Linked DNA regions of Bombyx mori. The protein of the gene in region 1 interacts with the protein of each later gene in a biochemical or structural test. Links are inferred from orthologs where the notes say so. Each region holds a gene or a part of one and is shown on either strand. Other genes may lie near its edges. The genes, in order: DRK, actin nucleation-promoting factor WASL, tyrosine-protein phosphatase non-receptor type 11, NCK-interacting protein with SH3 domain, guanine nucleotide-releasing factor 2 and PLCg.

Evidence for each region.
Region 2: the proteins of DRK (region 1) and actin nucleation-promoting factor WASL form a complex in vitro, tested with the Homo sapiens proteins (2 studies listed by BioGRID). The link is inferred for Bombyx mori from reciprocal best matches to the Homo sapiens genes GRB2 and WAS.
Region 3: the proteins of DRK (region 1) and tyrosine-protein phosphatase non-receptor type 11 form a complex in vitro, tested with the Homo sapiens proteins (4 studies listed by BioGRID, with this or other methods). The link is inferred for Bombyx mori from reciprocal best matches to the Homo sapiens genes GRB2 and PTPN11.
Region 4: the proteins of DRK (region 1) and NCK-interacting protein with SH3 domain form a complex in vitro, tested with the Homo sapiens proteins (2 studies listed by BioGRID). The link is inferred for Bombyx mori from reciprocal best matches to the Homo sapiens genes GRB2 and NCKIPSD.
Region 5: the proteins of DRK (region 1) and guanine nucleotide-releasing factor 2 form a complex in vitro, tested with the Homo sapiens proteins (2 studies listed by BioGRID and IntAct, with this or other methods). The link is inferred for Bombyx mori from reciprocal best matches to the Homo sapiens genes GRB2 and RAPGEF1.
Region 6: the proteins of DRK (region 1) and PLCg form a complex in vitro, tested with the Homo sapiens proteins (2 studies listed by BioGRID). The link is inferred for Bombyx mori from reciprocal best matches to the Homo sapiens genes GRB2 and PLCG1.

Annotation. Positions count from the first base shown.
Region 1 is NC_085123.1:5,829,654-5,835,114, forward strand, and holds the start of DRK (DRK protein), read right to left. Parts: upstream 3,833-5,461; coding exon 3,755-3,832; intron 3,677-3,754; coding exon 3,579-3,676; intron 2,196-3,578; coding exon 2,076-2,195; intron 1-2,075. UniProt on the Homo sapiens protein: Non-enzymatic adapter protein that plays a pivotal role in precisely regulated signaling cascades from cell surface receptors to cellular responses, including signaling transduction and gene expression.
Region 2 is NC_085121.1:15,505,749-15,510,756, reverse strand, and holds part of actin nucleation-promoting factor WASL, read right to left. Parts: coding exon 4,927-5,008; intron 3,530-4,926; coding exon 3,347-3,529; intron 2,825-3,346; coding exon 2,747-2,824; intron 2,404-2,746; coding exon 2,302-2,403; intron 1,685-2,301; coding exon 1,473-1,684; intron 935-1,472; coding exon 845-934; intron 300-844; coding exon 117-299; 3' UTR 1-116. UniProt on the Homo sapiens protein: Effector protein for Rho-type GTPases that regulates actin filament reorganization via its interaction with the Arp2/3 complex. Important for efficient actin polymerization. Possible regulator of lymphocyte and platelet function.
Region 3 is NC_085119.1:16,185,238-16,191,033, reverse strand, and holds the start of tyrosine-protein phosphatase non-receptor type 11, read left to right. Parts: upstream 1-1,944; 5' UTR 1,945-2,274; intron 2,275-3,478; 5' UTR 3,479-3,584; coding exon 3,585-5,495; 3' UTR 5,496-5,796. Other genes in the region: uncharacterized protein LOC101737689, read right to left, coding at 61-90; uncharacterized protein LOC101736406, read left to right, coding at 627-824, 891-1,127. UniProt on the Homo sapiens protein: Acts downstream of various receptor and cytoplasmic protein tyrosine kinases to participate in the signal transduction from the cell surface to the nucleus. Positively regulates MAPK signal transduction pathway. Dephosphorylates GAB1, ARHGAP35 and EGFR.
Region 4 is NC_085116.1:6,563,730-6,568,737, forward strand, and holds part of NCK-interacting protein with SH3 domain, read right to left. Parts: coding exon 4,861-5,008; intron 4,449-4,860; coding exon 4,326-4,448; intron 3,282-4,325; coding exon 2,876-3,281; intron 2,674-2,875; coding exon of another isoform or gene 2,507-2,673; exon of another isoform or gene 2,448-2,506; coding exon of another isoform or gene 2,374-2,447; exon of another isoform or gene 686-2,373; intron 611-685; exon of another isoform or gene 1-610. UniProt on the Homo sapiens protein: Has an important role in stress fiber formation induced by active diaphanous protein homolog 1 (DRF1). Induces microspike formation, in vivo. In vitro, stimulates N-WASP-induced ARP2/3 complex activation in the absence of CDC42.
Region 5 is NC_085121.1:7,790,601-7,795,608, reverse strand, and holds part of guanine nucleotide-releasing factor 2, read right to left. Parts: intron 4,445-5,008; coding exon 4,331-4,444; intron 3,538-4,330; coding exon 3,437-3,537; intron 2,344-3,436; coding exon 2,320-2,343; intron 613-2,319; coding exon 507-612; intron 112-506; coding exon 7-111; intron 1-6. UniProt on the Homo sapiens protein: Guanine nucleotide-releasing protein that binds to SH3 domain of CRK and GRB2/ASH. Transduces signals from CRK to activate RAS. Involved in cell branching and adhesion mediated by BCAR1-CRK-RAPGEF1 signaling and activation of RAP1.
Region 6 is NC_085107.1:5,700,874-5,706,364, forward strand, and holds the start of PLCg (phospholipase C gamma), read right to left. Parts: upstream 3,201-5,491; 5' UTR 3,070-3,200; exon of another isoform or gene 2,951-3,069; 5' UTR 2,917-2,950; coding exon 2,559-2,916; intron 2,446-2,558; coding exon 2,307-2,445; intron 1,772-2,306; coding exon 1,609-1,771; intron 886-1,608; coding exon 685-885; intron 85-684; coding exon 1-84. UniProt on the Homo sapiens protein: Mediates the production of the second messenger molecules diacylglycerol (DAG) and inositol 1,4,5-trisphosphate (IP3). Plays an important role in the regulation of intracellular signaling cascades.

The DNA.
Region 1 (5,461 bases):
AAAAATATTAGCATTGTGCACTTCTTCTCTATATTCTCTATAAGTGTGGATAATTTCAGTCTCCTCCGTCAGCGCAATTTTCGTAAAAAGGGATACAAAATTTTTGCTTCACGTATTAATATATAGATAATGTGATGTAAAGGCAAACTGCCTGAAAAATTGCAATGTTTTCATTGCTGTAGTAGATAAGTAGGAATTCGTAACTTAGCGTAGATTTTTTACTTTCGAAATTAGTTTCCATTAATATAAAAGCCGAGTTTAGAAATTTGCGACTTGTAAACGATTACATGCTATTGTATTTACTTTATACTTTATAGGTAGATCGTCACTCATGGATGTCAGCAATGCCAGGAGCATTTTATCAGTCGTCGTGGCCTAAAAGATAAGACGTCCGGTGCATTCGTGTTGACCGATGCACCGGTGTTCGAATCTCAGGCGGGTACCAAGTTTTCTAATGAAATACGTACTCAACAAATGTTCACGATTGACTTCCACGGTGAAGGAATAACATCGTGTAATAAAAATCAAACCCGCAAAATTATAATTTGCGTAATTACTGGTGGTACAACCCCTTGTGAGCCCGCGCGGGTAGATACCACCACCCCACCAATTTCTGCCGTGAAGCAGCGAGGCGTTTCGGTTTGAAGGGTGGGGCAGCCGTTGTAACTGTACTTGAGACCTTAGAAACTCTTGTCTCGAGGTGAGTGGGGGGGCATTTACGTTGTAGATGTCTATGGGCTCTGGTAACCACTTAACTCTAGGAGGGCTGTGAGTTCGTCCATGCAAATAAACAATAAATATCCATCTCCATAGCACACACAGTACAAACACAGAAAGAGCCGTCTATCCAAATGGATCTGTGACATAATTTTAAAACAATTATTTATTACAACAACAATTTATTTTAGCTGAACAGATGGGTGAACAGATTCACGGCCCATCTGGTGTTAAGTGATTACAGAAGCCTACAGAAACTCAACAGAACTAGTTCACATGATGAATATGAGGTAAATTTTACAGCTTTACAAGTAAAATGAGTAGTATTGTATTTGTCATAGTTTGTTTTTTTTCTTTATTGTTGACTGTAGAAGGAAATAAAGTTTAGTCATTCTAGAAAATTTGATAAGGATGGAATGTATTTATTTGTACGTATTTCAGATGGTGTATTTTTCTTATTATTGAGATAAGAAAAATTCTGAATTTATCAAGTTCTCTATCTATCTTATGACCAACCTTCCATGAATAGATAAAATGTTTTAATATTCACTCAGTTTTAGAATTCGCACACATGGTTAAAACTACATTTACAAAGTATTTATTTACACATTACATTTTCTGACGTCCTAAATACATTTATCTTATAATGGTTTTTCAATGTTAAATTGCATAAGACTATAGATGGTTCTTTTTACTCTTCATTTACTTTATTTATACTGCAGTGACCCGTGGATGCAAATGCTGGTCATTCACCTGAACTTAAAATGTAAATGTTATTGTGATTCCAATATATATTTTTAGATAGCATTGCTATAATGTATTTTTCTGTTAAGACAAAGACAATTTTCCCTTAGTTATAAGCTGTAATATACTATATACATACAATATTAGTTTTATAAGTATTACATAAGGGAGCTTTTTATTTTATTACTAATAGACTCTATTGATAAAACATTTAGAGAAACACTAAGTTATTTACATGCAAACATACAGAAAACATTCCATCCAGATAAAATTGTTTATTTAAATAATAATAATGAACGGTCTTCTGTTGGAATGATAACTACTGATATCTACTTAAATGATAACACCTAATGATCTCTCAACACTTAGTCTGCGACATCTGTTCATGACTTAACCTAGCCTAATCTATCCTAAGAAGCAGGGAGCCTGGAGATCAGTAATACAGGTCTTTGAACCTAGTACAGACTGCAGTTCTTTCAAAGGCTAACAAAATAAATTGTAAGGTTAATCTCTATTTGTATTTGTACTATAACTTTAAAAGAGAAATAATAAATAATGATTATTATTACTGTGAAAAATAATAAACATTACATGTAAAAATACAAAGGACTTACTTGACTGATAAGGAGAAGTCGCCAGGGCTTGATTCGCTGATCCTTATCAAGAAGCCACCTTCAGGTTTGTTTGCTAAGAGTTTTTCTGCATCTGCTCTTGTAATACGCCCATAATACCAACTGAAAAAGAGAGGTTATGTAGGCACACCTTTAAAATACAAATACTTACTATTTTCAAATTAATAATTACTTAAAAATTATGGTTTTTTTTTAATATGTCCCAAGACAGTTTTTAATCCTTAAAACTGGTGGATAGTGAGAATTTACACCGTAATATCTATAAGCTCCTGTAACTACTTGACACAAGGTGGTTTGTGACCTCATTCTGACATCCAATTCATTAAGTCGATGCACTGGATGTGCTTAGATTTCTCTTCCAGTCTAGCTGATACAATATACACCACACAATACACCAGTAAGGTATAAACAAAAAATAAGTAAATGTTCTACAAATATTTAGAATTTTTATTACTATTATTACTAATAGTAGTTTTTGGTGGTCAGGTATGCTGTAAGCATACACTGTATGTGTGTCTCTGTATACCATATTTGTCTTGCAGCAATTGTGCCTTTAGGTTTGAACCTTAGGACAGTTATTATCACAATGCAATTGATACTGCATCTCACATCTCAAATTAGGTGGTCATGGTAGTATGTTCTGCATTCATATTATAGTACTACTCAACACTATGAATTAAAGGAGCATTTGTATCACTTCAGGCATAGCCTTCACATTAATTTTATTGCTTGGCAAAGCATTAGCACTTACAAAATCAACAGGTTTATTTCTGATGTATAATCAGATTCTAGTTGAAGAGACCATTCTCTTTAATATATGTTTAATAACTACCTTCTATCTATTCAAATCTTTTCTCATTGAGAATCATGAAATAAAGTTTAGTACTCAAATAAAAAAAGCACTTTTCGTAATTCTTAATTGTGTAATAAAAAATACACCAAATTTATAATTTACTTTGAAATCAAATATTGTTTTCTCCTTTCAAAATACACTTCATATGTTTAAAGACACTTTGGCTTTTATTATTACAATTGGTAATGTAAACAAACATTTGTTGATTAGTTTAGTGGCAGCTGGTAAGTTACATGAAATTTCTGTTGTGTATCTATAAATAACATTCATTTTGTATGTTCTTCTTCTAAAGAATAATGAAATGACTTTGTAGATTAGGTTTGGCAACACTCTCCGGATACCATAGTAGTTAAATGTAAATAAAAATGAGTAGACCAGCCCAAGTTTAATTATAAACAAACAATGTTTACATTATCAGTTTTCTTCAGCAAATGTTTGGAATGAAATGAAAACATTCTTTTTCTAAATTTTATCTGAGATCTCTACATAGCTACACAAGAGCAATATCTTCTTGCTTTCACAAATAAAACCTAAGTCAAAAATAAACTGGTTATTTTAATTAAGAATATTTTAAAATCGTTATAAGTATCAGTTATAATTTTAAGACTAGAAATATTAGATATCCCACTTACCTGTGATTTTTCATTTGTATGTAATTACTAGGAATGAGCCCTTCTTTCCCGTCTAATTCAGCTCTGTACCAGTTCATATCGTCCTCCATGTTTAGAATCTGCAATAGGAACCATTCTAGAAAGAACTATCGCTAGGTATTAAACAAAACAAAAAGTTAAATAAATATTTAACTTACTTTTAATACTTGATTTTTTCTAAAACTGAGCTCATCATCTGCGGTTGCAGTAAAATCGTGTTTTGCTAGAGCCTCCATGATCAAATTAGGCACTTCACTGAAATGTCACCGAATTCTTAAAAATAACTCTTAAAGTACACAAACTTTCCAAAATGTCTAATGTCAAGGAAGTAAAATAATCATAATGCACGTATTGTCTCACAATGTTGAATAAAAAAGATGCGTTTTAGTTACAAATTTAGAAAAACCCAATCGGAATCCGTCTGTACTCAACACATCACTCACTTTACAAATTGACAAAAAAATCAAAATGTTGCCACTTTGCAGCTGTGTTTTTAGCTCGAAAATTTACTTGCATTCATGTGTGTTTTTGATACTGGCAAGGAACATAACATCAACTTTACCTGTAAAGACTAAAAACAAATTCATTCTACATTTGAATTGGATCTCACTTATAAGAATCGTCTACTATAAGGATTCGTAAAACATGTAGATGAATTTAAAAACCTAATTCATTATGAAAATATTGAAATTGACTAAAAGATTTAGATTCAGACGCCCCAACTAAGTTTAAGAGACGAATTGCCATCAAAACTTAGGTCTAAATTTAAACTTTTCAGCAGAATGTAGACTAGAAGGACGACTATGGACGAAGGACGACTTGCCATTAAAGACCACAAAATGATATTGCCTGAATGGTAACTTGGCTAATTTTTTTTCACTTTCAGCATATACATATTTCTCATTAAGGAAGACCGAGAGTGAGAAAATAGACAGAGCGTCTCATGAACCACTCGACCGTGGAGAGAGGGAAAGGACAAAGTGAGCTAGATAGTTTATCTTATATATAGCATTCCTTATTAATGGGGAAATTTGATTTAAAGATGAAAAATGAAGAAAACCACAATACTACACACCACAAAAGAAGTTTCCCTTTTTTCACGTGCACCAAGTTGTACACGCACCATATTTTTTTTAAATATTGTGGTTGTGATGAAATATTCTTTAACTTCATCGATATTATCTTACAAATAATCACTATTTTACATTTCGTTACTGTTGTGTTTATTTTTGCTATTTATTTGCTTGAACGCGTGAGCGAGATCAAAGCCCGCCTAGTTTGATGTGGTTACCGAAGCTCATAGACATCAAAACATGAATGCCAAATTATGACATGAGGTTCAAACTAGCAATTGGATTCTAGTAATAACTGCCTTTGCCTTTCTAGCCGGCATCAAGTTTAATATGATACAAAAGTTCCGATACGTGAAATAATTACCACTTAAATGGAGGACTATAATCAGTAAATTGTAACATATTTTTGCCAAACAGAAACAGTTTATTGCTATCCAAAAAAATAAGGGCAATAGCATGTACTTAATTTTATTTACAACTGCAAAATTAATTTTGAAAAATTCATAATAAAAAATCTGCTTACAAAAATACAATTTTGCTAATTCTCCTTTCTTAATTTGAAAGCAAATAAATACATAAAACCAAAAAAATGTATAATAAAATTAGAAAAGTTTGATTAAAAATATAATAACGTTATATTACGCAGCTGACATTCTTTAAAATAAATTGATTTTAAAAGATAACTATGTACATAATTTGGGAAACAAAAAATCGCAAGCTAAGTCATTTCTACTTATTTTCCGTTAAAGTAAAAATAAAACTAAGTTAAAATAGTAAACTATTATTTTATTT
Region 2 (5,008 bases), on another chromosome or scaffold:
GCGTGTTTACAGTTCAGGCCCACTTTCTATTATGGTTTTTTACAAACTACCCTCTTTTTAAAAGAATCTGCGTTGTGATCTTCTATTGGTGTCCTGGTGGGAGGTCGGCTGTGGGCTCAGTCGTCCCACTCCCCGTCGCTGGTGGTGTTGTCGCTGAGGTCGGAGTCGTCGTCGGAGTCGGAGTGCAGGGCGCGGCTCCGCTCGTGCAGGGCCCGCGCGAGGGCGCCCGCCAGCCCGCACCCCACGCCCGCCCCCGCCGCCGCCGCCCCCACCCCTACACCGCGCCTCTCCGGCGCCACCTGCCGGAGCAAAAAGTACTTCATAAATCTTTTCATTTATTTTAAACACAGAAAGATGTCGTCGTGGCCTAAAGGTTAAGACGTCCGGTGCATTCGTGTTGAGCGATGCACCGGTGTTCGAATCTCAGGCGGGTACCAATTTTTCTAATGAAATACGTACTCAACAAGTGTTCACGACTGACTTCCACGGTGAAGGAATAGCATCGTGTAATAAAAATCAAACTCGCAAAATTATAATTTTCGTAATTACTGGTGGTAGGACCTCTTGTGAGTCCGCGCGGGTGGGTACCACCGCCCTACCTATTTCTGTCGTGAAGCAGTAATGCGTTTCGGTTTGAAGGGTGGGGCAGCCATTGTGACTTTACTGAGATCTTAGAACTTATATCTCAAGGTGGGTGGCGCATTTACGTTGTAGATGTCTATGGCTTCCAGTAACCACTTAACATCAGGTGGGCTGTGAGCTCGTCCACCCATCTAAGCAATAAAAAAAAAAAGGATATTCTTTTACTGATTTTTACATAAGCAGATCTGAAGGGTGTACTCACGGATCTAAGTTCGACGCCCTGTCGTATCTCGCTCAGCAGGTTGCTCCGGTTGTCCTCGACAGGTGGCGCTTTGGCAACAGGTTCGACTCTCTGTAAATTAAGTAAATAATAAAATTTATTATTATTCGGCAATATTGATGTTGTTCAATACAATGTCAGTAGTACGGTTTGATACTCGATCGTTTTCACACGCCTTGAAGGCGGACATTGACCCCTAATATTGTTTGCTTAACATTGCTTGCTCATTAAAACTAAAAGCACGCTTAATAATACAAGAAATATTAAACGTATCCCGGAACTTTATCAATTCGAATTCAGGTTTGAATTATTAAAGACCCTTATAGCGCATCTGGGATATTCAAATTTTTTTTTCTGTAAATTCCTGTAATGTATTTAATAAATTTTCTGTAAAGTGGAGTAGCTGTTGTAGTTATACTGAGATCTTAGAACTTATTAAAGTGGGTGGCGCATTTACGTCATAGATGTCCATGGGCTCCAATAACCACTTAACACCAGGTGGGCTGTGAGCTCGTCCACCCATCTAAGCAATAAAAAATAAATAAAAGACGAGGCCGAACTGGAAATTTCGAGGTATAGAAAAAAAATTTTACAGAATAAAGATATGGACCTTCAAAGTGCTGGCTCCACTACGTATGCTCTCCATGAGTGCGGCGCGCGCGTCCACGGCGACGGCTGCGTCCTTCGGCATCGGGGGGGCGTCCGGGGGCGGGGACGGAGCCACGGGCGCGGGCGGCGGCGGGGGCGGAGGGGGCGGCGGCGGCGGAGGGGCCACGCCCGGCGGCGGCGGAGGAGGCACTGATGGCGGCGCTGACGATGGTGCTGGATAAAGAATAAAACGTGTTACGATTTTTGCTGTATACCTTAATATTAAAATTATTATTATTCATTTACAATGAAAACATTTACTTCAGATTGTATAGAACATAAATAAAAGTACATACTTGTTGAACGTCAAACTACCGCCAATTCACAAAAACTAGCCTCCGTCCTGAGAACTGGCAAGAAACTCAGCGGGCATGTTTTTTTTTTTTATATAAGTTTTTTTTTATGTTCATATATGAGTCGTCTATTATCAAAGGTGGCAATCTGTGCATTGGGACAAAAAAAATTTATTGATATGTCAATAGATTTATTTGAATATAATCGTCTCCTTCAAAGAATACGGTTCAAAACCTGCATTAAATAAAGGTTAATAGTTAACCTGTTATTTATCTAAGATGTCGTTCCGAAGAGTTTTGTGACTGCCAATGGAATACAAAGTCAATAATCCGTTTTTCTGATTTACCAATCATTGTCCAAAAGTCAGATTGCCGGCTTTGATAATAGTCGACTCATATACAAATAAGTGCATAGTAACCGTAAGAATTACTCTTCAGCTGACGCTGAGAGAAACAATGATCACAAGATATATTGGTGTATAGTATGTGTGCACTCACGGGGCGCGGGTCTGGGCGGCGGCGGGTTGCGGGCGACGGAGGCGGGCGGCGGAGGGGGAGGCGGCACGGCGCGCCCGGGCGGGGGGGGCGGCGCTCGCGACGCTATACGTCGGCAACAGACACATTCGATATTAAACATCTGCGAAACCCTATCTCTACATAGTTACTAATTGTACCAGCGATAGTGTTTAGTATTATGACTTGCCTTACGTTGGGCCAGTGAGGACCGCCAGTAACATTATATACATACTTGTGAAGTGAAATAATCGAATTGTTTTCTTCACACTAAATATTTGTAATTTGTTAATATCAATCGGTTCAAGGCATGAATAAGTTGATTTGTTTGATTTTGTTAAATGACCATTATATCAATTAGGTAATTAAAAGTGTACATATTAAAAATGTCATGTGAACGTTTGCACGTGTCGCGGCGTGCTGTACGTACGTGGCGCGGGGGGGTGCGGCAGGGCGGGGCTGCGCTGCGGGACGGGGGGAGCGGGCGCGCGGGACGGCGCGCTGCGCTCTGCGGAACATCGATACGTACGGTCAGCGTAAGGATAGAGTGGAAAACTAAAATATTACTGGTGGTAGGACCTCTTGTGAGTCCGCGCGGGTGGGTACCACCACCCCGCCTATTTCTGCCATGAAGCAGTAATGCGTTTCGGTTTGAAGGGCGGGGCAGCCGTTGTAACTATACTTGTGTCCTTAGAACATATCTCTCAATTTGGATGGCGCATTTACGTTGTAGATGTCTATGGGCTCCAGTAACCGCTTACAGGGCGGTGGTACCTACCCGCGCGGACTCAATAGATCCTACCACCAGTAATTACGCAAATTATAATTTTGCGGGTTTCATTTTTATTACACGATGTTATTCCTTCACCGTGGAAGTCAATCGTGAACATTTGTTGAGTACGTATTTCATTAGAAAAATTGTTACCCGCCTGCGGGATTCGAACACCGGTGCATCGCTCAACACGAGTGCATCGGACGTCTTATCCTTTAGGCCACGACGACGATTTTCAAAATTGATGATTGATGATACCTTTGATTGGCTTCTCATTGTTTGTGTGCAGATCCTCCATGACAGCGTTAATGCCACCGTTCGTCTCTATGAAGCTATATATGAATTTCCTCGTCTCCTGGTCGCGAAGGTGGACCTCCGAAACTCCTGCCTCCTTCAGAAACGACAGGAGCTTCTCGTCCTGTGTGGTCTCCACGTCGAACCCTGAAAACGTTAATATATTTATTAATTCGATAGGTGAACGAGCTCACAGCCGACCTGGTGCTAAGTGGTTACTGTGGCCCATAGACATCTACAACGTAAATGCGCCACCCACCTTGAGATATAAGTTCTAAGATCTCAGTATAGTTACAACGGCTGCCCCGCCCTTGAAACCGAAACGCATTACTGCTTCACGGTAGAAATAGGCAGGGCGGTGGTACCTACCCGCGCGGACTCACAAGAGGTCCTACCACCAGTAATAAGAGGTCCTACCACCAGTTCAAATCCAAATCTATCCTATCCAAATCTCGAAAGTGGAATCATTGTGATGAGGGTGTCTGCACGGGTGGACATCACCAGGTCCTGGTGCGAATCAGTCGCGAAGGGATCCTGTGTATCGCTGTGACCACTGCTATTGTAACATAACTGAGACTTGGACTTCATGGCTACAAATGAAGAGGCGACGTTGTGCGACTATCGGTTATCTATACTAATATATAAATCTACAGTGGTTTTTATTTTACGGATGTTCCGTTATAACTACTGAACCATGCATCCGATTGACTTGAAACTTGGTATCCATGTAGAATATGCATGTACTTAATGGATAGGCTAATATTTATATGAGTGTTGAACTCCCTACACCAGTTACGGGGGTGTTAATGATGAGAATCTTTGTGGGGGTGAGAAATAATAATGTTAATTTTAAATGCCCAGCGAAGCGGACCGTTACAGCTAGTCATTTATAAAAATAATGTTCAATGTGCTTAGTGCGAGTTTTTTAACGTTCTCGATGGCCTGATAGTTAACTCCAATTAGTATGCAGTTGGAACTGTTATATTATATGTACAGAGTACTGAACCCTAAAATGCTGATACCCTCAAACCGCTGACTAGACGGTTCGAGGTAGAGACTTTAAAGGAGACCGGAGAACAGTCAGTAGAGAGTGAACTGTCTTAGAGTACGGGTGCGGCTCTCGCGGTTACTCTGAGAATTACGTATATCATCCATATTGTATAAATAAAATAAAATAGTTCGAATCTTAAAAGTTTCCTTTTTTTAAAACGACCTCAGAGTAAATTCCCATAACAGAACGTTTGCCTACGTTTGCCGCTAGGGGCGCTGTTATAACTGCATACAAAAAGTTAACTTTTATGCTATCGAGAGCGTTAAAAAACTCGCACTAAGCACACAATAAAATTTTGTTTCATTTAATTTTATCCCAATCGATTAAATAGTCAAATCAATTAACTTCATCCTATTTTACTTCATATAACAGAATATTAGTATGTATTTTACAATTGAAGATTTTTATGAACTCGACACTGGCAACAATGGCGTCGCAAGAAGCCAATTGCCATACCTAAAAAAAAAAGGAGAAAAAGAAAAGATCCACGCACCTTTATCTTTATCCCATCCGATGTGAGAAACGTGCGTGAAGTTGTGAGGCATCCCGATGTCGGCTTTAGTCAATTTCCTTGT
Region 3 (5,796 bases), on another chromosome or scaffold:
GACTAAATTATTATGTACTTTCACAATATTATATATTTTAAATATACACAAAAGACAAACCTGAGACTGCAATGTGGCCGTAGCTGACATTTTTAAAACAATGCTGTTGTATAATGTTCACGCGTATCTACACTGAAATCACTTTAACCGCATTACCTACGTATTTTGTTTTCCCGCCATTACCTTACTTTTTTTTAAGCGTATTTATGACCTGGTTACTAAGACCTTTAAGTCATGTCTTATGACTTAAATTCATATTCTTATTTTTATGAAAAATGATAATATGGAGGATATTAAACAGTTAATAAACCACCATTATTACATATTGAAACCTGAAGAAACACTAAATAGACAAAATAAAGCAAATCACACAACTTCCCTCCTCGCGTTTCCGCCAAATATCTTAGGCTCACCTTACCTTACATTTTCAAGCGTGCTGCCACAGATAAATTTGCGATTGAAACCAAAAAGTTTTATTAATAATATTTCAAAACTATATAGTTTCGGTTTTTGAATTTAAAACAAAATACAACAATAAACACGAATGACAACTGGTGACAAAATACACAAATAATTTTGGATTTATTGAATTGTGAAAAAATTAAGAACTGAAAAAAAAACCGGAAATGTTGTGCCCAGAAGGCTCTCAGCCTGAAAATGATACGTTATCCAAAAGCAATGATATCTGCCAAAAGAAACCAAACAAAGTTCCTGCTGAAGGAACAGACAGCTTGGAACTAACTTCCTATAAAAATCCTAAGACATGGAAGAAATCGATTTCTAATTTCTTCAGAAATCAACTACGTTCAACTAAATCCAATGAGGTAAGCATTTGCATTAATACAATCTGTTAAGATATTTTTGCCGTTGCTAAAAAAAATATTTTTCAGGGTGATCGGCCTTCAGGCAGTAAAGATAATTTTGAGGAAAAAGAGATCACTCCTGACCAAAAGTGGCAATCTTTGGGGAAAGTATTTCGTCGTCAAAGCTTTGCCGAAACGTGGAACAAGTCTCCTAAATCGCCAGGAGAAAATTCATCTCACAGTAAAAGGCTAGCGGTAAAAAAGGTCATTTCATCTTACTTTGGCAAAAGTCAAAAAGTTACGTCGGCGGATGGTGAAAAATAAACATGTACACAAATAAAAATGTTATACAGATCGTGTTGTATTTTAAATCACTAAGTTCGTTATTTGTAAATTTCACTTAACTAAAACATAAAATGTATTAAAACAATTTGAAAACAAGTAATTTAAAATGATAGACATGAATCATGTATGAAAATTATTTACGTTCAAAATGTTTACTTTGTCAGATATATACGAATATTCTTATGCCTAAATTTTAATTCATATCTGAAACTTCTCTTTATACTACTCATTAGAACATACTACAGTTATAAGAACCAAGTAGTATGATTGTGGTCCTTGTTAATTCCATTGAGGAAGGTCCTTAACGCACTAAGAAAATGCTCAAAAACCACCTTTTGTGGATTTTATGTAATTCCAAAAATTAAAGTATCGAACAAAATAAATTTCTCAACCCTTAAAGATAATACAAAAAAAATTAAGATAATGACCAAGGCTATTTTACTTCTATCTGATGAACTAACTGTATACAATCTTTCGTATAAGACCTTTTGTTGTATTCTTTGTATATTTTCTACGGTTTGAGTGAAAATAAGGGAAACATCCGATAGTAATAATTGCAGTACCTACCTACATCAATCATAAAGCAATGTTAACACAAAATATATATCGTTTGGTACGAAGTGCTTTGTTATTGTCCATTAATTAAACGCTTGGAAATTAGGTTATAGCTCATTTCTAAAATTACCTAACACATTAATTTATAGTAAGATAAATTTTAAACGTTCGAACTAATTTGTATAGATAAAATAGTATAGAAACAAAATTGGAAGTTCGTTCAAAAACCGATTGACATTCTGTTGACAACTTGTCAAGGCACAAATGGGCTACAAAATCACTAGACTGACATTTCTCCAGGCAACTCAAAGAACAAAATTCATTTTCAGCTTTTCGTGCTAAATAATTTAATTTACGATTTATTTTGTTTAATAACACATTTTCATGTTCGTTTATGCTTTTAATTACAACATTAGGTTAACATTCGAGCCGTGCCAGTGTATTCAGTGTATACGCCCTTGAAAATCGTGTGTAAAAAATCTAAAGTCAGCATAGCAACAGTACTTAGATCCGTATAATTATTATATTATGGGATACCGCCGGGATTGTACATCACGGGTGCCTTTATGAGGTGAGTAGTGTGTGTTGTGGTCGATATAGGCGAGTCTAGTACAAGGAAAAAGCGTAAAATGAATAAAGAAATGTACCTTTGTGTTACATTGCCATATATACATATAAGTGCAAGGCTATATGTCACTTTAAGCCAGTCGAGAACACAATAATAAATTAGCGAATTGTAATCCTGTTGCCTATTTTTTCTATTTATATTGCGATATACAAATCTGCAAACATTTTCCATTTAATATATTTTTTCTATATGCAATACCACTTGATATCTAACAGAAACCAAAACATGTGGTAAATCAATAACTTTACTTAAGTTTCCAACAACTTGGTTTTGTTTTCAGCAAAAATACCCAAATAGGTTATGAATCTCGTAATTCAACAAAACGAGCCATTTCTCTGATTCATCTAAAGTTCTATCACCATTCATATATCCCAATAGGAAGGTAGGGAAAAAGCTTAGAGAGTAAGTTTAAAACTATATTTTGCCAAGCTTTTAACTCTAATGAACACACATCACATACTTTTAGCAAAGTGAAAAAAGGTGTTACTGAATACTAAGTTGCTGAAACTGCAAACCCTCACTCTAGAGACTCTGCTAATTATGAATTTATACTTTATGTCTAATGGTAACAACTTAAATGGGCTGTTAGCATGTACCTACAGCAATATCAATGAAAAAATAGTATGTGCACCATGGGAAAAAATTAGGACAACTCATCCCGCGTGTTTGGCAACTTTACACGCGGGAGGAAGTGTCCTACTTTTCTCCCTTGGTGCACAATGTACTATTACTTAAAAAAAGTCTTCAAGGAATCTGTAACAGTCATAAAGAATTAAGATGTGTAATAAAAGAAAAAGAGTACAACATCCAAAAAGTTTAAAAAGCATCTGATATTCTAAGTAGATATTATAAAACAAATACACACAATAAAAACATTTAGGTAATATAAACATACAAAGATACTTAAATAAATAAATACACAATGTTTATATTAATATGGGCCTTTAGTACTTTGAAAGAATTTAAATCATACTCTTTTCTGGCAGTATAAGTTAAAACATTCAGAATTTATCACAGTTTATTTCCAATGTTGAAATAACTTGGAATAATCTCTTTCAAAATACTCTTTCAAAACAATTACGTTAAAATGTAAATTATATTATGAAATGAAGAAAAAATAATTAAGTATTGTTTTCATTATTTCCAGATGGTTGATGAAAATGTACGGGCATTCAGAAGTGAACAAGAAAAAACACTGAATTAATATTTAAGGTATTGTAAGTTGCAAAAGTGGTGCTTTCTATTAGTGTAAGATGATAACTCGAAGATGGTTCCACCCCTCGCTGAATGGTGTGGACGCGGAAAAATTGCTCATGGAGTGCGGTCACGATGGGTATTTCCTGGCCAGGCCAAGTTCAAGTAATAAAGGAGATTTCACTCTCTCCGTCCGAAGAGGAAATGAGGTCACTCATATAAAAATTCAGAACAACGGCGAATTTCTCGATCTTTATGGAGGTGAAAAATTTGCTACCCTGTCAGAACTCGTCCAATATTATATGGACAATCAATGCCAGCTAAGAGAAAAAAATGGAAATATAATTAGGTTAAAAACGCCTCTCAACTGTGCAGATCCAACAACCGAACGATGGTACCACGGGCAGCTCACTGCCAAGGAAGCAGAGAGAATGATGATGGAAAACGGAAAAAACGGGTCGTTTCTCGTTCGCGAATCCCAAAGGCAACCTGGCGACTTCGTGTTGTCCGTTCGCACGAGAGATCGAGTTACACATGTGATAATTAGGCGAAAGGACAACAAATATGACGTAGGTGGGGGGCAACAGTTTGACGATCTCGTAAGTCTAATAGAATACTATCGTAGTTTTCCCATGGTCGAGACTACTGGTGAGGTACTAAGATTAATCCAACCCTTCAACGCTACACGTATACAGGTAAGACATTTTCACACGCGCGTAAAACAACTTCAAAAGGAAAACGAGGGACCCATCGAGAGCATGGCCTACAAACAAGGTTTCTGGGAGGAATTCGAAACGTTACAGATGATGGAGAACTTGCAGTTGTTCGACAGAATGGAGGGTTCGAAACCGGAGAATATTAGGAAAAACAGATACAAAAATATTATACCATTCGATCACACGCGTGTTATTTTAAAGGACATCCCCCCTGACGGTCCTCCGGGCTCAGATTACATCAATGCCAACTACATTCGATGTGACAGTATGGATTCCATTTCCGATTCCCAAGAATTCACAGGGAACGGCAGCACTGAAAACGGCAAAGACGGTACGCCGTCGAAAGCTAAAGATAAATCATCGCCTGTTCATACAAGCGTTATCGTAACTGAAGAGCCGGTCAAATCAAGTAAGAAGGTGCACGGCAACGGAACACACAAGCTGCCGGCGTTCGAACCGAGCGTTCTTCGTCCCAACCCGAATTATTTCAATACGACAATACCGAAATCAGCGACCGAAACCGAAAACGGTGTGCCCACTGTACACGTGTACAACAAAACGTACATAGCTACTCAAGGCTGTCTTTCGACAACAATATACCCGTTCTGGTCGATGATATGGCAAGAGGACGTCCGCATCATCATAATGACGACAAAGGAGATCGAGCGCGGGAAGGTCAAATGCGAAAGGTACTGGCCGGACTTGAACAAAACAGAGGTCGTCAAGAAGTACACGATACTTAACGAATTCGAATCCTCCACGCCGGATTATACGCTTCGACGGTTCCTTGTCACGAAAAAAGATGAGACTACAGTGAAGCGGACCATATATCATTTCCATTTCACGGCCTGGCCGGACCATCGTGTTCCCTCAGAGCCCGGTCGCGTGCTCAACATTCTACTGGACGTGAACTACAGGCTACAGCAGATAATGACGGGGACCGATCCTCCGGCGCAGGCGGTCGTATGTGTTCATTGCTCGGCGGGTATAGGTCGGACGGGAACCTTCATAGTCATCGATATGATCTTGGACCAAATAAGAAAGGAAGGGTTCGACTGCGAGATCGACATACATCGCACTGTGCAGATGGTGCGCGACCAAAGGTCCGGTATGGTGCAGAACGAAGCTCAATATAAGTTTATCTACATGGCCGTGTTGGAGTTTATCGAAACGGAGAAGCAAAGGGTAGGTCTCGGGCCGGAGGCGGCACAGGACTCGCCGCGAGCCAGGTCTATGCCCGTACCATTTTTATGAATAGCCTTGAAAGTTCAAATTAAAATATCAAAAGCTTTATAAACGTCGGAATATCGTAGATGAATGTAAATAATAATATTTTAAATGCATCTATCTTGTAACTTGGTTAAAATTTCTCATCCAAATGTTCTATTATGTGTGATATAAAAATGATTTTGTCTAATTAAGTACCAATTTTCCATTTCTATTATGTCGATTACTTAATAGTATTGGGGATAACGATAACACATAACCGTATAATTTCATGTTTTTACGCTGTTTTACAAGGAGCACACAGAAAACACACATACCTAAGATGAAA
Region 4 (5,008 bases), on another chromosome or scaffold:
AAATGAAATGCTATTTCGGATGCCTTGATAACGGTGAGTTTACACTATTTTCCCGGTATATTATTTGCTAACAGAATTATTATTCATAATATAATTAAATGAATTAGCACCAACTAATGGTCCTTCCTATTTCTGCTGCCTAGCTATCATATATGTTAAGTTTTGATCAAAACAGTCGGTATTAAGTCTTGTACTATCACACACACACCTCAGATAATAAAATTGTCTCGAGTGGGTGGAAGTATTTATGTTTTGCAACTCAGCGTATTATATGCTTATTGTCAAGTGGGCCCGAACTAGTTTTTCGGAATGATCAATCAGTCATGGTTTCCTGTTTAAATAAAATACAGCACAATTGATCTCACATCCAAAGTTAGATGATGGCATTCACGTTTTGTTTCCTGGTGTTTGATAACCAAGTTACGCCAAGTGGCCTGTGACCACGTTCATCCTTCTACCCAATATAAAATAATGTTTTTATTTTTGTAGACAAAGGTTTGATAATGACAAAATTTTATGGAAAAATTATAAGGAGCACTAAAATGTCTGAAACATGAAAAGATTGATGCACTATATTTGAACCAGAACGTGTTATGTAATATATTAATTTGTAAGTATGATTACATTAACACTAAATTTTTCAATATTTGTTACATACTTAAGATACTTTGTTTCTCCGTTTCAGAAGAGAAACTGATTCAGCAAGGAACGTGAACTCTCAAGGATCTTAATTTTTTTTAAATATGTTTATAATTTATAAATTAATAATTGAAATACTTCATAAGAACTAAATTGATGCCAATTTTGTTTTAAAATAGGTTGTTTAGTTCTTATAGTTATAGTATTACGTTTGAATAGTTGTAATTAGTAAGTTAGTAATATATGAAAATACTGATATAAATTTTTGTAAATAACCTTTTGTAAATTCTACGAGAAGATGATTTTAATTAATGATCAAAAGTCAACGGTCTTCAAAAGCATTATTTGCAATTATTTAGATTAACTGTGGAATATATTTGCTAAGTTGTGTTTTCTGTATGAGCAGATATAAATGAAAATGCCCAAACATGATTATGTTTCTTACATTTTCATTATGTGAAATCAATATGCTTGTGACTGAGTATATTAATAATTTATTAAAACTTAAGTGATAGACAGCAACCCCTATGGCACTGCTGAAGTTTATAAGCACTGGTGACCACTTATCATGAGCCGGGTTGCGTGCTCGTCTGCTGTTGAGTGCAATAAAAATTTTCGAAACCCTTTCTATTATTTAGATGTAATATTAATGTACATTTAATTTGGATTAAAAGATAAATTTACATTTTATGTTTGCATGTGTATGTTTATAATTCATTTGCATGTAACGAACATCAGTTTCTTTTGTAACAAAATGCAAACTAATGGTTTGTAATGAATGTAATTAACTTTAAGATGATTTTCTTTCAATCTGCTGTTTGTTTCATCTAGTATTACCAAAGCTAAAGCATCAGAAACGTCAGAATAGAAATAATTTAGATAGGGAATAAAAGTATAACTAATGTAATCATGTCTAAGATTACTATAAGCGTCATTAAGTACAAACTATCAATATTTAAGAGTACTTTAAATCATCATTACATTTTTTAAACATTTTTTGTTTTTTTTTTTTTGTTTTTCAAATCATGTAACAAAACGTTTGTGCAGAATAAAATGTCACATGTTATGAACATGATAGTGGGTTAATCGTTTCTTAAATTTCTAAATGTTTATAAGAATGCTAAGAATAATTTAGTATTCACTTTAGTGTGTGTATTATCTCTACAATGCTAGTTTAAATGACAATTATTGTATGACGAAGCATAGGTAGTGTTTATAAATGTAATATTTTCATACAAGGTCATGATCTGTCACGATCAACTTTAAGCAAGAACTGCTATCGTTAAGAAACAAATTTATTAAATTTAATTCAAATTGTCTACTATGTTTGTAATGGAAAGCTGACATGTTTATATTTCGCACAAATGACTTAATTGACATTGAATGATTTGATTATCTAGACTTAATTAACTTTTAGATAACTTTCGATTTAATGTGTACGCTAGTAGGATTAATCTAGAGGAGTTATTGTTATTCGAAATTTTATACAATTGTACGTTCATACAATCTTTTAACAGAAAATTGTTTGTAATATAGGGAAATTAAATAGCTTACAGAGAATTACAGCTTTTTATTTTAAAAAACTGTTTTCTCTCTGTATGAAAAGATCTTATCGATTAGAATGCTGAACACAATCAAACATTCCTTAATATCTCATAAGTACTACCGGGAATTTCAGCGATTCTAAACGATAAGATTTTTTCATAAAGAGAGTTATTAAAAATATTAAAATTACTAAAAAAGCCACCTGGTGGGGGGTAGGGAGACTAATAATCGACCGTAGCGACGCCTGCTGGACCGGGCTTTAACTAAAGCAAAAATAAAAATGAGAGTTGCGCATCTATCTCTAATATATTAAGTGTATAATCTATGATTCTAGGGATGTCGTATCGACTATAAAAGCATTGCAGAAATGACACGAAGGCAGCACGCCGTGCCCCCGTACAACGGGTACAACGACCCCTCTTGCTTGCTTGCTTGCACGAAGGCAGTTAGTAATCGGATCTACTCGAAGCGAAACAGCGAACAGATCACCTGAAGCGAAGCGGAAGAAGTCTAAGTGTTTAATAGAGTTTTAATTTGTACTTCGGTGGAAGTTTTATTTATCCCGAACCCCAGCGCGTAACAATATGATTAACAAAGTATACCCTATTATGCAGAATGAGATTAATTCTTTTTATACACATACATAATTCATCTGTATCTTTTTGTTTTATATTGAATTAAGCCACTTTACCTTCACGATTGAGTAACAAGAGCACTTTCTCACAGAATGTTTTGGCCATGTCCCTTGTTTCCAATGCATTCAACAATATGTTGTCGAATGGGTTCTCAAACTGCAAGTTGTAGGCCAAAAGGAGAGTTGAAAACAAATCAGGTATCTGTTCATCGACATCGGTTTCCGGTGGATCTTCAAGCAACTCCAGCAAAAATTGTGCAAATTCAAGGCCGAGCTGCTCGAAATGTGTGACCGGAAGTTTGTCTCCCATAGATAGAACCATGGAGAGTAGCAGAGCGGAGTGAGAGAGACGGCTGACGGCCCTAGGGTTGTCGCGCATGTCTCGAGCAATCTCCGCCGGTAACGATGACAGCGCCAATGTTGCTAGGGCTGTACGCTCTAGGCCGCACATTATACCAAATGCCTGAAAAAGCGTATGACCATTAAGCGAATATTCAAGTTTTCTTTATCCTAACCAGGAGGGCGCTCTTAATTATTCGTGATAAAATATTTTTAGGTTCGAATATACTTAACAAATCTTATCCAAACTAAGTCGGTTTCTAAGCAGTGTGCTTAGTGCGAGTTTTTTAACGTTTAAGTGTAAAGTTAAAGCTAAAGTTAACTCAAATTTGTATGGAGTTGGAACGTTTGCCTACGTTTGGCGCTAGGGGTGCTGTTCCAACTGCATTCAAATTTGAGTTAACTTTTACGATATCGAGAACGTTAAAAAACTCGCACTAAGCACACAGGAGTCAAATTCAAGCAAAGCCAAAATAGATATAATCTGTTTTGTTGGAAAAAGGAATCATACAACATTGATGCAAAAAATCCTACAGCAGAAATTGAGTATCTCCACCTTATTTTTATTTGAAGTTGTTTAAAAAGTAGGAAGTAAATTCGGAATGCCTCCAAAACTACGTAAAAAATTAACTTTTGACTTTTTATTTAAGTAGTTAATTACAAGCACTTTTCCATATTAGAATACAGTTTCATCACTTAGAATAATCCAAAACAAGCTCAGGTCTTGCTTATTCCCAATGAATTGAAATCCGTACTATGTAAATTGAACACTGGTTTAAAATGAATATTTAAATGAATTATGACTGGAATTAAGCCAAGATCTTTTACTGAGCACTAACTAAAACTGTCTTATATTTATAATTTATAAAAATATGAAATTCTTTTTAAGCTTCTGTATTTTTTAAAGTATCGTGCTATTTTTCATGCTTTTAACATCCTCAGACATACATATCTCAGTGTAACTATGTAATACTCATACTATTATACATCGTACAATGATGCATTAATGGATAAGTTTCTGGGAGACAACATAAGAAGACTTTGCAATTGTCCTAATATTTATAATGAATGTTATTGTTTTCTGTTGTTATCATAAATGGGTGTATTTAATGTTTTCATTTTACTAGTCAGTTACATTAGAAGAATCACAAAACATATCATTGGTTACCTGTAACAGTAGCTGACGTAGGGGCCACCGAGTTTCCATCTGATAATACTGTACCAAAGTTGTCACATAAACATATCGATGACTGCTCAACACATGTTGGGATATGTTGACATCAGCATTTGACTGAAACGATATATTTTATTATTACGTAAAGTAGTATATAAGACTCATCCATATGCAACTTAATATGTCTTATGCAATAATGCAGGTAATTCCAGTTGGAACTATTAAGCAACCAATATACTTTATTCATTGAGAGCAAACAATTGTGTAATAAAACAAAAATAATTAGACATAAAAATAAATAATATTCAATGGCTACAAAAATATATTTAGGCAATTAGTTACTAGGTATTCAATAAGCAAAATATGTAACTTCAAACAGCTAGCAGTAAAGTTATAAAGTAGAGAAGTTAGGCTCCTGAGCCTAACTTGTCCCTGGACAAGATGTTTTAAAGCTTCTCTAACTACTGAATATGAGATGGGGGAGTTTCTGGTTTCCAAAACAAAAAGTTTATTATATTCGTTAGCTTACCATAACGGAGATCAGTTCAAGCAATTGTGTTTGTATGTCATGTGAGTCATCATGCAATGCCCAGCCTCTTTGTTGAGCATCATTAGCTGCTTTGGAAAGTGCATTCAATGCAGTCATCATCCTCAATGCATCAGGAGCAGCATCAATA
Region 5 (5,008 bases), on another chromosome or scaffold:
ACATACCTCAAGGGCGGATTCCCAAAGTGTTGTACTGTAAACGATTGAGCTATAGACCTTTGAACTTGTTGTCTCTGAACGCTAATCACACCTGCACTTGTGTGTTGAGAACTGAAAATAAACATAAAAGTATTAGGCTATTTGTTTTTGTTTGATATTAATTCAACTTACCTATCTCTTTATCTATACATATAAAAATGAATTGCTGTTCGTTAGTCTCGCGAAAACTCGAGAACGGCTGGACCGATTTGGCTAATTTTGGTCTTGAATTATTTGTGGAAGTCCAGAGAAGGTTTAAAAGGGTAGATAAATATATGAAAATGCTCGGAGTTAAATAAAAATAACAATTTTGTTTTCCCTTTGATGTATCCCCCGTCGGACGGATTCCTTTTGTTTGTTTTAAGTTTATTTTATACAAAAGTATAGGTTTTTTATTAATCGATTGAGGCACTACGAAGTCTACCGGGTCAGCTGGTTTGTTAAAAAATGAGAAAAAAAACACTAACCTGGCCAAATTGTACGTGTGTATGGAATGTCGGAACATATCGGGCGGTGCGGCCGCGTTGTTCGGCGGGTGACTACAGTTACCGAACATTTCCATGTACGCCATTACTGCACAAACACAAATTTCTGGTTAAACGATATAAAGACGCATCAAGTGTTACAAAATTCACGTGATTTTTAAAATAACTAAAAAAATATACATTTATTTATTATAATAGAATTTATTAAAATTTTCACTCAACAAGCTAGAGCTTTGTTTTTATTTATTTATTTAATGCTTTCAATAACTTCAAGTGAATTTTGTACACTACTAACATTATGATTTAATGAAAAGTAATCACGCTATGGTTGTTGTGAACATGGAATACGTGCGTTGTATGTACAATGAGCCGCCAAATGAACACCGAACAAAGCAAGGACGCATTATAATGAAGCACTAAGTAAGTTCATAAGTGATAATTAGCTACGTCGCGTATATTCGACAATACGCTATTTCAAGCTGCGATATACCAATTAGCGGGAATAAATACATTTCTACGTTTAAAGCAAGGCAGGCTTATCGTGATAAATGCGAAGATTGTTCATCAATTTATTTTTAAGAGAAATCTCTTTGCGGTAAAAATAAAATTTAGGCGTCGGTTATTTAACTCCTAACATTTTGAAACATAAATTTTAAATCTTAGATAATTGAGATTATCCTAAACTTCAACGCCAAAGCAATTCCATTATACATACTTTACAGAATATATATGTGTTGTTTAGTACTTTGTCCAGAAAAATAATAGTGCGATGTTCAAGAATTTACTAACACAATGAAGGTGAACTGTAAAATTTTCTACCAATACCACAATTATATTTAATTATCTAGTTTCTCTAAAACGTTCCGAAAACGAAGACAAAAATTAGTACTACTTATTGCGTACACAATTAAAAAAACATGATCTAAACACATTTTTATACGCAATGTATCACATCCAAAAATCAGCAGACGCGCAATAGTCAGGGTTTATGTCGTTGACCCCTGTCTATAGATTAGTTTGTGGATGCACGAAAAATTAATAACAAAACTATTACATATTGCTTTGCTTAGTATATTAGAACTGTTTCGGCTTACGTAAACGCATTTCGAAACATTTTCCTAATATGAGAGCCCTTCCTTTTCATTATGTATTATACTCAAGGCTTCGTATTGAACACTTTTTATATGAATAAAATTATGAATCAAGAGTATTTCATAACAATTTATTTACATTTTTTTTTTTTGTTAGTGACAATGTAATGATGCAAAACGAAATATATTAGACAAAATTGGTAGCGTTTAGGAGACCTCTTGATGGTTATCATGAGGGATCAACTTCAAAACAAAGATTGCTTCAAGCACACTTAAATTATATATAAACTCCAATGTCATTCAATGGAGTGGATCTCTAGTTTAAAAAAAAACACAAAACACGACATCAGGATTAATTATGTTTTCGTATTATTTAAAGGTCCACATAGTGTTTAAATCAATCAAATCAAATCATTTTTTTTTTATTCAACATAAATAAAAGTACACACTTGTTGAACGTCAAAAAGAACTACCGCTCATTCACAAAACTAGCCTCCGTCCGGCGAAGAACTGGCAAGAAACTCAGCGGGCATGTCTTTTTTTTTTAAATATTAGTTTTTTTTTTTAATATTCGTTCGTTTGTTCGTTGTAGTCATAAAAAAAGAAATTGAATAGAGTTTTATGATCGACGAAACATAATTGATTCCCATCGTGTTTTGCACCAGAGCCATCGTGTAGCGCGTTTCATGCATAGATCCACTCACCGCTGTAGGCGACGCTTTGGAACACTGCGGCGCCGCACCGACAAAGACAAACATGCCGTTATAGCCCCAACATACAATATATATAACATTTACATTCAAGAAGTACCCTCCGAGGACAGACATTCCCATTCAATGACACAATCGCAGACGTTATTACATTCCAGAGTGCAGTGAGCGCGTGAGGATGAACTGACAGCCAGTAACGACGGACCATACTGACACATCGAGAGCAGACCCATGCAAGTAGTGAAAATTTGAGGGTAGTTTCATAATTTACATACTATAATTTTATTGTTTTTTTATTTAAAACGCAAAGTCGACATCATAAAAATTGATATGTTTGATTCAAGAAATGAAAAAATTACTATTGGTATTTATTTGTTAATTGTAATGATTTTGAAATTTCGCTAAGTACCAAAAAAGGAGATTGCATTTAATTAGTTTCAAAAATCCAGAAACAATTATTTTTCTCCAACAAATTTTATACTCTGATTCCCAATAGATTATGAAGTTATTTCTAAACGTACATAATCACAATGTACCGTTCATAAGCATTAATTCTTCATAATTCAAAGTATTAACAATATCTTGTAAAAATATGCAATTTTCAAAACTAATTTTTTTTTTTCATTTTATGTTTAGTGTTATGTCATCAAACAAGTACGTATTACGTGATGTTATCATGGTTTGATATATATTTCCTTCAGGATAGTAAAACAATTGAATATTAAAATTCTTACACATTTTAAATAACTTTTCTTTAATGCGTATTATAATCTGTATTTTCTATGTTATCTATAGAAAATATAAACATTGTACACCAAAATAAAATTATTTATCCTGTTGAAATACACAAGAACTTTACCTCGGTATGAAACAAATAACTATAGACATACATACACATAAAGATACCAAATTTCTAGTTCACATGGTTACACAAACTATTTCGATAACTGTCATACGGAATTTCATAGATCAGTTATAACAAATAATTTATAAATAAAATCTGATATTCAATTCGGCGATTTCTTGCAACACTTGTTAATCTAACTACTATTGAATATATGAAAATGCCTACAGATACTTTTTATGTAATAAAAAATATCGATATACTCACTGTGTTTTTTCTTTAGCGGCAATGGTGGGGGCCTCGGTGGATGGTGATCAGCTAATGTGTGCGGTCTGGCATCGCCGTGCAGAGAACATACTGGGTTCGATCTAAACACATATTATTATTAACACTTTTTAGCTCAAACAATTTTCATTCAACAATTTTTTTTTTATTAAATTCGACTTGTAAACAAAAATATATATTTAAAACAACGGAAAAATGTGGGACGTATTGCGGCATCACAACATTGTGTAAATCTAAAAATGATCTCGCTTAGCGGATCAGACGAGCAATTAACTCAGCCAAGCGTCACGCCTAAACGACAAGTTACTTAATGCAACCTTTGCAGAATTACAATTCGTTGGCCAACAACGAGCACTTTATTTTACTCTCACTTTTACCTCAATAAAACTCAGAAGTCATTTTAAAATTTGTTTGATTTTCTCCAGCTTTAGCAATATTTGCACTTTAGCGAATGCCATACGAATGTTATAACATTACAGACGAGTTTACCAAACGTGAGCTACATGATATCGAGGGGTGAAATGCTATTTGGTTTAAGCGACATTTCGGTTGATATACGCGACATTTATCATTGTAATTAAAGGTTTGTTTTTTTGGTATTAGTATCAACGATTAGATGTTTTTAACTGAACTTCAATTACGTTTACTCCATTCAAATAGCTGAAGTTTTTTTTTGTTATGGTTTTTTTCCAAATTTTGTACTTTAAATGGCTCTCCTGCAGTCGTTAGAATATCGCTTAAACCAAATAGCCTTTTACCCTTCGATATGTACATGGTTTAAAAAATAATAGGACTGCACCTGTCCAGCTACATGAACGATTATTATTTTACATATATTTGTAATTATAATAAAGAAAAAAACGAATAAATATATACCTGATTTCGACATTCGGGAAGTGTTGCTGTACGTCGGCTCGAATGTTGCGCCTCGTCTTGGCGGGCAGCTCCGGTGGAGTCTCGCTCTCGTCTGAAGTAATGCTCGCCAGTCTGCTGGAAGCATTGCGAAGAACATTAATTGCCTAATACGTTACGAAGTCGAACTTCGAATACGAAGTCGATTTACTGGTGTGACAGCTGTCGTTCTGTTCGTTAACACTAAACATACCATAGCGGGTCAAATGACCCATTTTGAACTTTTGTATTGAAAATGCACGTATCATCTTGTTGCTTTTGCGCACTTCATGACTTTTTCTTACCAATTAATCTACTGGTATTATATTATTTCTTTTTGTTTTGTTTTGTTTGTTTTTAGTATTACTTGTCATATTATACCGTTATCTACCCGCTATGGTAGAAAAAGGGAACCAGTAAGTGTTGGTATGATTAGTGTTAATTATTGTGACTTTTAACTTGGCCATAAATTCGAAACATATTATTGCATTTTTACAAAACCACTCAATCATTGTTGAACACCTTTTTTGCACCTATTGTGGTTTATATTAAATTGACTGTTTCATGCTTTTGAGTCATTTACAACGTCAAATTAGCCACTCTGAAGAATCACAGTCGGCACAAAATTCTGACAAATAAATGGATGAAAATTTATGTTAATCA
Region 6 (5,491 bases), on another chromosome or scaffold:
CAAAGGCCTGGTCATATCTTGTGTAACCTTATCATACTGACTGTCATAGATGGAATTCTGCTTGGAGTACAGCATCTCGACAAACTGCAATTAGGTAATTTAAAGAAAAATTTAAAAAAAGTTTGAATATCTCTATTAGTGGAATGAGAAATATTGTAATTGATTATTTAGAAATAATTTATACATTATATTTGGTATAAGAATACAGCTTTAGATAACGAGAATAGAACAGCTTGCAAAGCAGGCGCTCATAATTTAAATGTGTTATCATCATGAAAACGCTGAGCGTACATACCACCTGGTTGCTCCTGGACATCAGTAGTATCCATGGCAAAAAAAAAGTGGGGAAGCCCATTGAGTGTACTGGGCATGCTGCAGTTTCTTAAAGCCATAGCATGCCCAGTACAACAACCTCTTTCCTACTATAAGTATCATACTATAAGTAGTAGGAAAGAGGTTTGCATTTATGGTGGGCAGCAACAGGGAGAACTGAGGCCTTCCATAAAGACTCAGAGGCTCGAAATTATAGGTAAGACCAGAATCACCTACAATCTTAATAACCGTCTTATGTATAAAGTAAAATGGCAGTAGCAGGTCACAGAAAACAAAATGGAAGCAAAACTTTGTAGAAAAAGTATTTTCACCATGCAAGAAGTACTACTTCACACTGCTGAGTTAATTTACCTCGCTTAAAGTGAAATAAGGTTCATAGATGTCTCTTTGTGGATCTCTTAAGTAATCACGGATGAACTGTGAGGCTTGTACTTCATCATCACCAAGGTTATCATGCTGTTCATCTCTAAGGAAATTTTGAAACTCTCTAAGAGTAATAGTAGTACCATTAGAACAATAGACTGAGTATTTATCAAATATGTCCTGAACATTCTGAAAAAAATATATTTTACATACATCACTGTCTATAAGTTTATATTAAAATATTATAATGTGGACAAGGAGTTAAATGCATAAAAAATTACTTTCTTATTAATTCAGTGAATGTGGCATTGCCTGATTTCTAAGCCAATATGGTTCTTAATGCATTCATAATATATTGTTTGTTTATGAGAGTATAATAAAAGGTCACAGATTTTTTCACGACTTCTGATGAAGCCATCATTAAGATAATTTATGTGAGACATGGATTAATTTGAGTTACTATCACTACATCCATATTATAATCTTCCTAAACAGCTCTTACCCTCTAATAGAATAGTTGACAGTTTTTTGAGGAAGCAACATAATATCTAATACTATATAATATTGCCCACCAGAAAAATGTATTAAATAATTTACAGTTTTAAAAAATGTACAGTTTTAAAAAATTTGCAACCAAAAACATCAAGACATCATGTCTTCTACCCTAGAACAATCAAAGGTTTCAAACTATTGATGGACTGATCCATATTTCAGATTAAGAAACTAATGGCTTCTCGTTATACCTATAAGCTTTGATGATTACATACCTTGTGAGCCAAGAGCTCATCTACTCATTTATCTTAATAAATAACAAGTTTGATGTTTGAATAAGTTTAATTAGTAACATTTAAAGAAATACTAGATTTGTTGTTTATGATAACCTACTTTTTAGTAAATTAGATGAATACTTACATTCTCATCAAAAATTAGCTTCTGATAAAGAACAGCAAAATCATCAAAGCCAATCTCCCCTCTTTTTTCAGTGTCAACATCTTGGAATACATCTCGAAGCTTACTTGTTGAAATTTTACAATTAATTTTTGGTAGAAAAGCTTTGACCTCTTTTAATGTTATTCTAAAATGATTTTTGTATATTACATTTACAATATATATGCATTTTCAAGCTAATTAAATTGAAATAAGAAAATTAATATAACAATAGGTTTTTCATATTTACTCACACTAAATAATGAAAATATGTAACAGACAATTGAAAGACTAATAAAGCAATATAACTTGAGTTTAACTTAATATTACATTGCAAGCTTTGCATTGTTTTCTATTACAATTTATTTTACTTTATGATCATTTGGTAATAGTTTGTTACTTTTACATACCTATTACTAAAAATGTGTTGACAAAGCCTGCCTTACAATAAATTACATTACAATATGTTCCATTTATGTAAAAAAGCTAATTAAGTTTACTTTCATCAATTACTACTTACTGAGATCTATATATACTCTAGTTTACTGGAAAATAATAACAATTGCTGCTAATGTACCAAAATAGGCAAGAAAGAAACATAATTAATCATTGAAATCACATATGGAATGGTAAAATAACAATTACTGGCAATTTTTACATTCACATTTTTAAAAATAACTCACTTTTCATGGGAGTTTTCAATAGAATAGAATTCTTTCCGGAGCCATCTTTCAATCTGTAGAGGATATGATGCACTGACAGCTTCTGCTATTAGATACAGTACACCTTTCACCCAAGCTTCACACTCTTTATCTGTTTGAGCTGAAAGATTGTAAATAGTGACTCAGATCCATTTATAGAGGAAACATAAAATTAACAGAACTCAGTCCGCGCACTCACACATTTAGAAATGTTTATAAACTACTTCAACATACCAACAAATGATGCACAGCGAAGTTTAAATTCAGTTCCATAATAAATGGTAAAGCATTTTGAACTTTCAAGACGTTTGGTTTCTTCAGGCCAACGCTCAAAGTCTTTGGATGATTTTCCAGTGCGAACTTCTTTGACATCACGGATATCGAGAGCCCCTTCGTAGCCCTGTCTCTGAGGGGCATTGATTCGAGACCAAAGAACTTGATGGGTCTCTCTTCTCACGCAAAGTGCACGCCTTTCGGGTCTCTTACGAGGGAAGAATTTTAAAACGGTAGAGCCTCTTTCTATGTAGGAGATAAGCTGGTCTGCCTCGTGTATGAGCCTATCTTTGGCCCCGTTGAAGCAGACCGACTTCATTGCACTTCCGCCCTCACCGCCGGATGCAAGCAAACTGTGGCGAAAGTGAACAACGCATGAAATAAAAGAGCGACTGCTAATATTTCTCTACATATAAATAAGGCACCCGAGTTTAAAATACATTATTACTGGCTATTTCTACATTACACACACTTTGATATTTAGTTTGTTTGACATTTCCAAACCAAATGAGATGCATAGATTATACACTTAATATATAAATGATGAGATGGTTGAGACGGGGATGATTACGTTCCGTTTTAGCTGGTTTTAGCATTCAATTCTTTGACTGACATTTCTTACGTCAAGAGGCTCAATTATAAACTTTTTCAATTTATTGAAATCTAAATTTTATGACAGTATGAACCTATAGTTTTGTATTGTTTTTTTTTACATGTTGATAAGTTTGAGACGTTCTATTAAATAATGATAGCCCAATTAAAAAAAAAGTACTATGTTAAATAAATAAAGATCATTTTTTTATGATTGAATGCTTTTACTGGTGGCCCGGATGCCTTTCCAGTTTTACTTGGACAGGTGAGCGAGCAAAGGCTCAACCAGGAAATTAAGATCATGGGATCCCGCCAACTTACTAAAAAATATAAACGATATTGGCGGTAAAATTGAAATAGATAGACCTTACATTTTAAACCTTTACCCTTGATATTTTAGTAGTACATTAGTAGTTATTCACAATATAGATATATGCTCATTCGCAAATAACCCATCACCGTATGTATGTTTGTTATAAGCATGTATTTATTGATAAAGATTTCTATACCGCAGATTTTCATAGTTTTAGTATACTTTTTTTTAATCTCTCTTCAAATCAATCAGCTAATGTGTAGTGTTAATGAATATATCGCTTAATGTTTTTCTTAAATAGGCAGACGAATCATGATCCACTTGATGTTATGCGATCGAAGACCAAAACAAAACAATTCTTTTTTGGATATCGATTCTAATAATATTGTGTTAATTAAGTACAGAAGTGTAACGTAGAAAGGTCATTGATGAATTTCAAAACATAGTAGTAATTGTAATCAAATAGATTTAATACTTAGAGTATGTATGTAATTTGTAATAAATTGAAAGGCAAACGTGTGTTTTGAAATGGAAAACCTATATGCATACATATACGTTTTTATTTTGTGATGATACCTATGTGTAGATTTTTTTTTGTTTACACGACCTATTGTTATATTGTATATTTGGGCCGTTGTATACCGTTGTTGATTCTTTTCGAATCTCGTTTAAAGCAGGTCAATCAATAGTGTTAACCACAGTGTAAGCTTAAATGAGCAGAGTTAATTCCAGACACGCACATGAAATAAATGTTTTTTTTCAAGGCATTAGCGCAAATACAAATATCAAAATTTTGAGTATAAGCTTACATAAATAGGAAAAGACAAAACCTTAAGTAACATAAGTAAATTTTTATTCTTTTATTGTCAACCTATTTCATTTTCAATTTTTTTCCGTTTATTTCCGTTTTCTGTATAATGTCTGCCTTCACGACTAATCTTTAGAACCGGTACGTAAGTATCTTAAGAAAGCCTTAGCACGCTTCTTCGACTTACTCGTCGTTTATTACCAAGAGTTACTAATTAAAATGAACTAATCTATAGACACAATCCACTGAGTTTCTCGGCCGATCTTCTCAGGAGGTCGTGATTACGATCCGGTGGTAGATCCGAAGAAGAAGAAGAAGAAGGGTCGTCGTACCCCCTTACGGGGGCACGGAACGGGCCTCGGGGCAAACCCCACTGCCCGGGCAGAAACTCCCTGCCACTTAGGGCAGGGGTGGACTGATGAAGGGAGGAATGAGAGGGAGGGTTCGTATGCGTATGCGCGTGGAGGTAGATCCGACGGCGAAACACTGCTCTTTATAGGGCTAGTGTTTGCAAATTCTCTCAGGTTGAGTCCGTGAGGTCACCTACCCGTCCGCGCGTAGCTGTAATAGCCTCGCTACCAGCAAATAGGTAAGATAAAAAACGCTAATAGTCATAAGTATAGTGTGTTAAAAATAAATAGGTAATTGGACATTTTTTGTAAACCGAGGAATAAATGATTCAGTTTGAATAGAAATAATATTACAGTAACAGAACGACGTCAATGCGAGAATTGTAATATTGCACCTAAGATGTTTTACTTATAAATAGTTGCCATATAGGTATAATATTCTCTTGTCTGTCTCAGTTTCAAGGTCCCAAAGGATATATTTTTTCATTGTCTTATCTGTACCTATTCAATGTTAAAGTTTAAATTGTTCTATTTTTTTTTTATAATTTAGGTTTTAAAACTTTATTTCAATCTAAGTATTCTTGGTAAAACTACCTCTTAGATTAATATTACTATTTATTTTTTATTTTAGTTTATTTCGGACTTCATTTTTTATTTAATTAGTCTGTGAAATATCTGGTATTTAATTTTTAAATCCTGTTATGAAGACAAATATGCATAAATAATGTCAATAAACAGTTGTTGAGTAGATGATATAAGTAAGTATGTATATCGCACTTTACAAACACGATTTATTCCTTATAACAAATGTGAAAGGACTTTTAAAAAAACA